Arabidopsis thaliana: one gene and its partner. The protein of the gene in region 2 interacts with the protein of the main gene of each other region in a biochemical or structural test. Each region holds a gene or a part of one and is shown on either strand. Other genes may lie near its edges.

The links.
Region 1: the proteins of HRB1 (region 2) and PP7 form a complex in vitro, tested with the Arabidopsis thaliana proteins (one study listed by BioGRID).

The regions. Positions count from the first base shown.
Region 1 is NC_003076.8:25,560,255-25,565,240, forward strand, and holds PP7 (serine/threonine phosphatase 7), read right to left. Parts: upstream 3,063-4,986; 5' UTR 2,905-3,062; intron 2,671-2,904; exon of another isoform or gene 2,660-2,670; 5' UTR 2,655-2,659; coding exon 2,259-2,654; intron 2,181-2,258; coding exon 1,686-2,180; coding exon of another isoform or gene 1,671-1,685; exon of another isoform or gene 1,598-1,670; coding exon 1,451-1,597; intron 1,376-1,450; coding exon 1,268-1,375; intron 1,178-1,267; coding exon 1,082-1,177; 3' UTR 816-1,081; downstream 1-815. Other genes in the region: VPS20.1 (SNF7 family protein), read left to right, coding at 3,636-3,737, 3,971-4,123, 4,218-4,370, 4,505-4,660, 4,742-4,883, 4,979-4,986. UniProt on the Arabidopsis thaliana protein: Phosphatase active on para-nitrophenylphosphate (pNPP) and on various phosphoproteins such as myelin basic protein.
Region 2 is NC_003076.8:19,958,182-19,962,750, forward strand, and holds HRB1 (Drought-responsive family protein), read right to left. Parts: upstream 2,501-4,569; 5' UTR 2,242-2,500; coding exon 2,163-2,241; intron 2,073-2,162; coding exon 1,936-2,072; intron 1,462-1,935; coding exon 1,384-1,461; intron 1,293-1,383; coding exon 1,057-1,292; intron 973-1,056; coding exon 867-972; 3' UTR 691-866; downstream 1-690. Other genes in the region: AT5G49220 (hypothetical protein (DUF789)), read left to right, coding at 49-272. UniProt on the Arabidopsis thaliana protein: Involved in both red and blue light signaling.

The DNA of each region.
Region 1 (4,986 bases), 5.6 Mb from region 2:
GAAGTGCTAAACAATTACTGTTTAGAGACATATATGCACATGAAACTAGGAAAGAAAAAACATTGCGGTGAGTACATGTCAATGATTGTCGATGAACAAATTACAAAACAGTAAAAATCAACACCCACCCACATGGGTTCCGGTATAAGGGTCAAGTTTGGCGATAACACAAATTTTAGGGTTTGCAAAAATGTTGTAACCATAATCGGTGATGAAATATGGAAGATCATGTGAATATTTAGATGATGAAACTATTTGGCTGAAAAGACAGTTAACTTTAAGCTTTATTACTTGAGATGCCCCGTGACAGACAACGAATGACCTTGGAGAGAATCACACAGATGATGCTAGAGGTAGCTTTAATGTGTTATATTTGCGAATGAAGATGCTTCACGCTCCTGTCGAATTCTTCTCTCTTTAGAGAAAGAACAGACCATTATTAGTTTAGCCCACTCAAGAGAAAAAACCGAAAACAATTGCAATAAATGCTTCAAAGTGCAATAAGGAACCATAAGATAGTTAGCATCAACCTCCACTTCATACTGTCTTTTACAAGAAGACATACATTCATCTGAACAAATTGCTACCAAATTCGGCATTTAATAAGCTGTCTCGTTACTTAGGATTTTCATAACCACACAATTTTTTGTTGGATAAGATTCTAGTAATGTGTCAATATTTCAAAGGAAAACTATAATGCCGACAGACACATAACTTGATCCACAAACTTCCATTGGACTAATCTACTACTCGATTTATCATTCAGTTAAAAGCAATTCTATACAATGAAAGTTACTGCAAGTTTGACCTCTCAAGATTTAGGCTAACCTGACAAAACAGAGCAAAATCTTACAAGATTTAGGTTTAAATAAGACGTGTAGGAACCAAGAAACTAAGAACTACATGAGATTTAAGATGGTTCTTATTTCTTCATCTTCCATACATAACTTAAATGTGAATTCTACAAATGATTTTCTTCATCTCTTTTCTTTACATTTGATTCCATTTTATGTTTGCAAATAATGAGCAATCACAACAACTGTAAAAAACATCAATTCAAGATACTCCTTTTCAGCTTCGGTCAGCTATTTGGTTGTTCGTTATTGGTGTCCATTGCTGACTTATCCATCTCATCATCAGAATCAATGACATTTTCAAAGTCATAATATGGATGCGCCTGCACATTTAAAAACCGATGTCGCTATGTATGTGTATCAAAGAAGTAAAACAACTCGTTGGTTCATTATCAGCATCGTAAGTTAGTTACCTTTGGTCGCGGTTTAACAGCTTCGAAACTATGAAATTGAGGATCCGAGAAATCAGGCGCCTGCAAAATAATATATGCTCCTTTGTTTTTGTACCTCTCTTCTGTTGCCTACACCACACACAAAAATGATTGTTAACGCATATCTTTAGAAAATGCAAATACCAAAGGCGTAAAAATACATACTTGGAATTGCGGATAGTCAGGTGCACTGAAAATAGTGATAAGCTTTCCGGATTCGACATTGTGGTCTATTGTATATCCATTGTCCATTCCACCAAGACCAGTTCTCTTCTCTCTAGCATCTGGACCTTCATGTGATCTGATGATCAACTGCACCAATAAGTGTAAAACATTTGATCCAATCATCCATATCAGTATTTGGGAAGCAAACAAGCATCAATATCTACTTTGGTGTCACCTTCAGTTCATATTTCTTCAAAAAATCCTCTGTACAATCGGGACCCCAAAGAAGACCAATGCCTCTCTGTTCATTTGGTGAAAGGCCCGGAGTCATTGAAGGATCAGACCATAAAACGTCTCCTGGTATCAAGTTTGAACCTTCCCAAGGAGGATCAAGAACTGATCTTCGAGCTTGCATCAACTCATCTAAGGTACCGAGTTTCATTGAGCTCGGCTCAGGTTCCAGAAGAACTACCCGACGGTTCTTTTTCCCCCTTGTTGTTCGCTTAGGCAAGACTGGGCTGCGGAAAAGCCCTCCATGTGCTGTATAAACACGTCCAGAAATTATGGAAGCCAAAGGAAGACCTTCAAAGCAACCCAAACATTTCCGGTACACATGTTTTCCCTTGTCTCCGTATTTTGTAAGCACTTCCTTCTCGAAACCATACATAGATGTACAATACTTTGACTCATGATTACCACGGAGTAGGTAGACTCTGTCCGGCATCAAAACCTAAACAACCAAAAAGATATGTGCTTTAAGAATACTAAGACTTGAGCCAATAGTAAAACAGCTTAGTAAAGAGTTTACCTTCCAGGACAAGAGAACAAGGAAGGTTTCAAGTCCCCAAGCACCGCGATCCACATAGTCTCCGTTGAAAACATAACACCGGTTTTGACAAGGAAAGCCAGTATCTTTCAATAGGAAAAGAAGGTCATGAAGCTGACCATGAATGTCACCAACCACAACAACGTTGGATACAGAGTCAAGATCATCGATATGAACGCAGTTACGTTCTTTGTGGAGGATTTTATGAGCGGTGAGGACGAGGGAATCAAAGACGTTGACAGGCAATAGTGAAGGTAACTGGGAAGGAGGTAGATTCCATGAAGACCATTCGAAACACGACATAAGCCCATGTACCCAGTCGTTAGTGAGAGCTCCCCCATCTGGCCATGTAATGGGAGATGGTGGAACAGTTTCCATTAAAACTGTAAAAACACTAATCTATAATCAATTCCAGAGTATGAACATGTGAAACAAGAGTATCAAGCAATCGAAACATAGACAAAGTTTTCAAATTTCAGCGATCAAAGCCACCAGAACATAAAATCGAATCTGTATATATTCATTCGTACATCTTTAAACTCAAGAGAAGAGCAAAAAGTACAAAATCGAATCATGGGAAATCGAAATCCATATCACAAAGAATAATTCGGAACAGAGTGAGACTCACCGGCTAAGAGTGGAGACAATTTACAAAATTCCAAAGCTTGGATCTTGGACCTAGCTAAGCTAGCTTACTTTGCTTTCTCTCTGCTTTCAGTCCCGACACCGTCGTCGACGAGATTTAGGATCTGTCTGGCTTTGGATCCATTTACTCAAACGACGTCGGTTAACCAGCTAAAAGGATTCAAATCAAATTCATGATTCCAAACCGGCCGGTTTAATAAACGAACAAACCTTTTTTGTCGTGACGCTGCAATAGCGTTTTGCAATCACGCGCTATCGAAAACGCGAGTTCGAGATTTTGTTAAAGGTGGCCAACCGGTTTGTTCTGGTTTTGATATAAACTTGAACAAAATTGGGAGACCGAATTATACATTGGTCTATTCGGTTACTTATCGATTTCAGCTTGATTTTGTTTACGGTACTATCCAAGGAATTTTTGTTTGGTTTCGATTTTTTTATTTTTCAGTGTGGATGAAATCAAACCGACTAAAATCGGTTCGATATCGATTTTTACATTTTTTCGGTCCGGTTCATGCTTTTCCTCTATTTTGAGATATTTGTACTGAAAAGCAGAAAGAGAGAAGAAACACAAAAATTGGACTTTGGTTTGAAATTGGCGACATTTTTGGGAAATCTAGAGACTAATAATCAATTTCGTCAAAAGATCAAATCTTGCTAAATTTTCTTCTGCTCGTTTGATTTTCCGAATCGTTGGTTTCGATAAGTGAAGAAAAGATGGGGAATTTGTTCGTGAAGAAACCACAGATCACGGAGGTTGATCGAGCGATTCTCTCTCTCAAAACCCAAAGACGCAAGCTTGGTCAATATCAGCAGAAGGTTTTTTATTCTCTCTTCTTATATCTTAATTTTCTTTTGTTACAATTTCTTTTGGAACCCAGATCATATAGTTTTGATTCATCCAAAATCCTAATTGGAGATTGGATTTGATTCGTTTCACAATATGTGTCTTATGATTGTTAGTAGTGTGATGGAAAAGAAAGACTCAAGCTTTTGAGTTCTTTGGCTCATCTCTTTGTTAACCGATCTTCTCATTTTTTTTGCTAATTTAGCTTGAGAAAGTAATTGAAGCGGAAAAGCAAGCTGCAAGAGACTTAATCCGTGAAAAGCGAAAGGACAGAGCTTTGTTAGCATTGAGGAAGAAACGAACTCAAGAAGAGTTATTGAAGCAAGTGGATCAATGGGTCATCAATGTTGAACAACAAGTAAATCCTTCTCCTTGTGTGTATGTTTTGTATCCGGCATCGTCTCTTTTGATGCATAATTATGGCTTTCTCAAACTTTCATGTGAACTCGCAGTTAACAGATATTGAACTTACGAGCAAACAAAAGGCAGTGTTTGAGAGCTTAAAGCAGGGTAATAGTGCTATTAAGGCCATTCAAAGCGAATTGGACCTTGATGATGTTCAAAAACTAATGGATGATACTGCTGATGCTAAAGCTTATCAAGATGTGAGTCAAAATACTTTCGGGTTTCGTATCATTTGTTTATGATTCATTATTACGTTATCCGCTTTGTCAGAATGTAAATATCTTCTTATTTGATCACTGCTTTGTGTGGCACAGTTTGTTCTGAGCTCGTCTAGTGTGAAAACCTCTATAATCTTTTTTGTCGAGCTTTTGTGTTTGATGACTCTATTTACATTTCCGAATGTCAGGAGCTGAACGCTATATTGGGAGAGAAACTATCAGCAGAGGATGAGGAAGATATATTAGCAGAATTTGACAACCTAGAAAGTCAGGTATGGGTTTACAAAATAAATTTGTGTATTATTATCTTTACTAGATAAAGAGACTAATGTTGATGTGTGTTTTGCTTAAAGCTTATTGTTGATGAGATGCCTGAAGTGCCTACAAAGGAGTCTGAAGAATCTGAGAAGCTGGATCTTCCGGATGTGCCAACAAAAACTCCTGTCGCTTCCAATGCGGAAATCACACCAGCTGAGTCCGCCACAAAAACAAAAGGTTTTTCCTTTCGTCTTCTTCTTCTTTTCCTTGTTAGAATTGCAAGAACTAAACTCAAGACATGTTTTATTTGGTCTGTTACTTTCGTGTTGCAGTTCTCGAA
Region 2 (4,569 bases):
CCTCGTACTTGTGATCTCTTTCTCAGTGTTGTGTATGTATTGGAGCAGGTGCTATGGGTTGTAGTGATTCACAACCATCCACAAAGCTACCGTTGCCTACTTTTGGACTCGCATCTTATAAGCTGAAAGTATCTGTGTGGAACCAAAATAGAATTCAAGAGTCCCAAAAGATGACTTCTTTGCTACAAGCTGCAGATAAATGGCTCAAGCGTCTGCAAGTTGATCATCCAGACTACAGATTCTTCACCTCTAACAGTCCACAAATGAGGTGAAAATGAAAGATACATTCTTGACCATGGATTTGGCTCTGGTCTGATCAAAAGACCCATTATCTGCTGCTCTTACTTCACATATAAAGTCTCTCTTACACTGAAGAACCACCAAATAGTGGTTAGACTCTTGCGTGTTTTTCAGGCGATTTAAGAGTCTCTGCTGTTTCGTTTCCAGAAGATGCTTTGTGAATTGTAGCCTAATCTTCCTCTTTCTTCTTCTGAAACTTAGTCTTTTGATTTTCCCTGAATAAGGATTTGAGGAGCCCATATAGTGAAATTTGCGAGGAGTGTTTTTGTAATGTTGAGATGCAACACTTTTTGTGATACAATTTGATTGCTGAACTGATGAAACACAGGGTTGGCTTATAAGTTTTATACTGAAAAGTTTTAAGCGTTGGCTAATTTTACGAGTCCTGAGTAGAGTGAAATAGTACTTATATATCTTCTGATTATGCACATAAAAGATACCCCACGAACATCCGATTACAACATACTCAGCATGCCATTATGCTTGCTACAAGCCTCTGCTACATACATTGAGACTAATGTATGATTTCTTGATACATTGATTACAATATAAGATATCTAGATAAATTAGAACTTGTCTTCAAGCATGGTTGACCAAAGCAAGCCCCGCACAAACTTGCTCTTCTTTGCCTTCTCTTGATCTTCGTTTGAGAATGATTCTTGTTGTATTTTGCTGTAAAGGAATGATAAAAACAGGCACTGTGAGAAAACAAACGGAAGCGACACATTTTTTTGAGAATACAGTATGGAATTATACCTTTTAGAGGTGTCCTTAGGTGAGACTTGTGCTACCGAGTCTCCTTCAGTGATAGGTATAGCCGAAGGGGGTTTAAACATAAAGGATGAGAGTAGAGGATCAGAATCTATATTGGAAGAGGGAATGAAAGTGGAAGACCCTCCAAGAGACTGTAAGTTAGCTTCTCGAAGCTCTTTTTTAAGAGTAAGATAGGTAGAGCTATATCCACCTTTACGCAACCTTCTTCTTCGCTGCACGTAAAATCTCTCACGTCAAGGAATACACAAAATGACTCTTCAAACTCTACTAAAACCGTTAAAAGAGAATATCAAAGTTTCAAAAGGATATCTTAAATACGTTCCCGTGTTGCGTTGTTATATGGCCAACAATGTCCAATCCCACCTTCTTTGTGCAGACAGGACAAACCTAGTAACAAAGCAAAAACATACTGTTCTCACATCAAAGATAGCACATAAGAGAACCTAAATAACTTTCTAATCCAGAAGCACTGCGAGATTACAATGCTCACTTGACTAAGCTAAACACTGCGTAAAAAAGCAACCTTTTCCATTACAAGCAAGTTTCACGATTTGGAAATCAAACCTAAGTATAAACATAATCAATCTAAGAATAACATGTAAATGTAAAATGCGGATGATCATTTAAGCACTCTGTTCTCATATCAAAGATGACACATAAGAGACCCTAAATTACTGATTATATAATCTTCTACAAATGGTAATTACAATGCTCACTTGATTAAGCTAAACAATGGGTTAAAACTGAAAAGCAACTTTTTCTATTTCAGGAAAGCTTAGAGATTTGGAAATTTAAACCTAAATATAAAACCTAAGAATCATCATGAAACTCTTGAAATAAAAAAAACTCAATGAACATTACCCCATTCTTAGCTTCAACAGGATGATTCACATCAATATGACAACAAAGACCAACAATATCAAACTCATCTGCACAAAAAGGACACATAAACTCAGCTTTCAAATCGTCTTCTCCTTCAACATCTCCCAAATACAAATCTGCGTCAAAAAGTGTTAATCACCATCAATTCAGAACAAAGGATGAAACTTTACATAATCAATCTACCTCAAGCATTTTTTTAAACAAACCTGATCGAGATTGGTAACGGCGTGAAGAAGGCGATGATGAAAACACAGGGGGACAATTGATCCATGAATTCGAATCCATTTCTTCTTAAATTGTTAAAGATTAGGAATACAAAAGAACAGAGAATTTTAAAGGAGATGTTGAATCTAAATTAGCCAAACCCTAGAAGTAGAACGATGTGAGAGGTAGAGAGAGAGAGAGTGGAAACAAAGAGCTGTGACCAGAACTACTACTACTGGTTCGGAGTTTGTTTGAGTATTTACAGTCTTGACCAAACCGAAACTAGTGGTAGTTGTGTTTTGTACTGCGTTCATTATGTTTCACTTTCACACGTGTGACTTTTTCTGGCTCGTGTGCTTTTTGTTTTTTCCTTCCTTTTTCCATCTAATTTTTTGTATCCAAGTTTTGGTTTTAGTAGAAAAGTGGATAGCAAATGACATTGACATGAACCACTATTTTTTTAAAAATTCTGACAAAAAAAATATATTAGCAACCTTGGTTTTCTTGATGTTGGGGAAATATTTAAGCTTTTTAATTATGCTACTATTATTTTTGATAATGGTTAATCTACTACAAAATTTTTATGGAGAGGAATGTGTTTTTTTTATATAATTTTTTACAATATAAAATATTAAAATCAATTGATCGAGCATTGTATCTTTTCTTGATCGGACATACTATTATAAGCTTCGTGATTTGACGTGTTGAGTCCCAAGGTCTTTTGACTTTGACTTCGACCATATCTCATGTTAGAATCTTTGAAACTATACCCTAGAGCTCAAGACATATATCGAACGAAACTTCTGATCAAAAAAGTTTTCCGATTTTTCTTCTAAGATTGATTAAGGAAGTTTTATATGAACCGTATTTTTCCTACATTTCAAGAGCTTTTGATCAATATATAAGCAAGGAGAAGTGGGAGAACAGTACAAGGTTTAAAAGCAACTGAAAAGGAGAGTCACCTAAAGTGATAATTAAAAAAAGAAAGCAACTCATAAAAATTGTTAAACCGGTTGCTAACGACGATGTAGAAGGTTTTGGTTTACATAAGTTTTACATTAATATTGGTATTAAAAAAAAAAAAAGTTTTACATTAATATTTGAAAAGGAAGATATTGTTCAAGAGAATTTTATTTAAAAAATTAATAAGTAAGGCTCTCTAAGACTTTCTTTTTTTCATAAATTAAAGTATGATATTACCTTATAAGATTTTAATCCTAACAATGTTTCTTACAGTTATCATGGTTAACTTCACTTTTAATTTAGTCTTGTTATTTTTTTTAGAGCCAATATCATATGAGTTTTTATAAAGTAAATATATTATTTTAATACTAAAATTTATGCATGCAAATTTTGTAAAGTAAAAATACTTATGGTCACGCACAAAAAGATCCCCAATTTCCTTTTTTTTGTTAAGAACAAAAACAAACTGGTTTTTTTTTCTTAACAAGTATTTTGGTTTTTTATTCATAATTCGAACTGAAATTAACATAAATGTGATACTTCATCGTTCATTCATTTACTTATGATTTTTTAAAAACTGCAATTTGTTATAAAAATTAAAGGTTGTTGGAGTAATTAGTGAAGAATATCTCTATTAAAATTTTATAGAAGTAGTTTGATGCTTAATTCCAACTCTTTTTTTTTGTTGACATATTTCTCAAAACCATTTTTCTGTCATTTGTTTTCACAATTTTCAATAGCTATTTCCTTTTGTTATTGATTAAATATCTATTCATTTCGACCAATTTAGTTTCATCCGATCTCTTAAACTTTTGTTTCTGTTTGATTTTTCTCTTTATATATTTTCATATCACTAATGTTAACTTCGAAACTCCTTATGATAAATCCACTAAAATATTTTAAATAAAAATTCAAAAAAGAAAATACATGAAACAAAATTACAAATTTTGAATTTTTGAAATCAATAAGGAAAATTTGGATAGTAATTTAATTTTGACACAAGAGTCATTTCTCTATATAGCAATTTTATGTTTATGAGTGTTTTAAACTGACTGGTTGAGTTTTTATAGCAAAATGTTTAGTTTGTTATATTTGATAGTTAGACATACATTAATTAGTTGAGTTTTTACCTCACAATGTTTATAGTTTTTCTAAATTGTAAGAATCTTATTCCTTTTTTTTTTTTTACCTTTGTTTAGCTTTGGATCTAACTATATAAATTAAATAAATAAATAAAAGCTTAGAGGATCCATTTTAATTTTGAAAAACTCAAATTATGATCATGAAGAAGCTTTGCAAAAAGAGATGAAGATCGTGATAACGGTTTTATTAAAACGAATAGATGGTGGCGTGTTATCTTAGGAGAGGATTTTAATTGTTTTAACACATTATAGTTTTTAATTGTTACGATTTTAATTTTTCAAAATTCTAAATCTGTTAACAAGA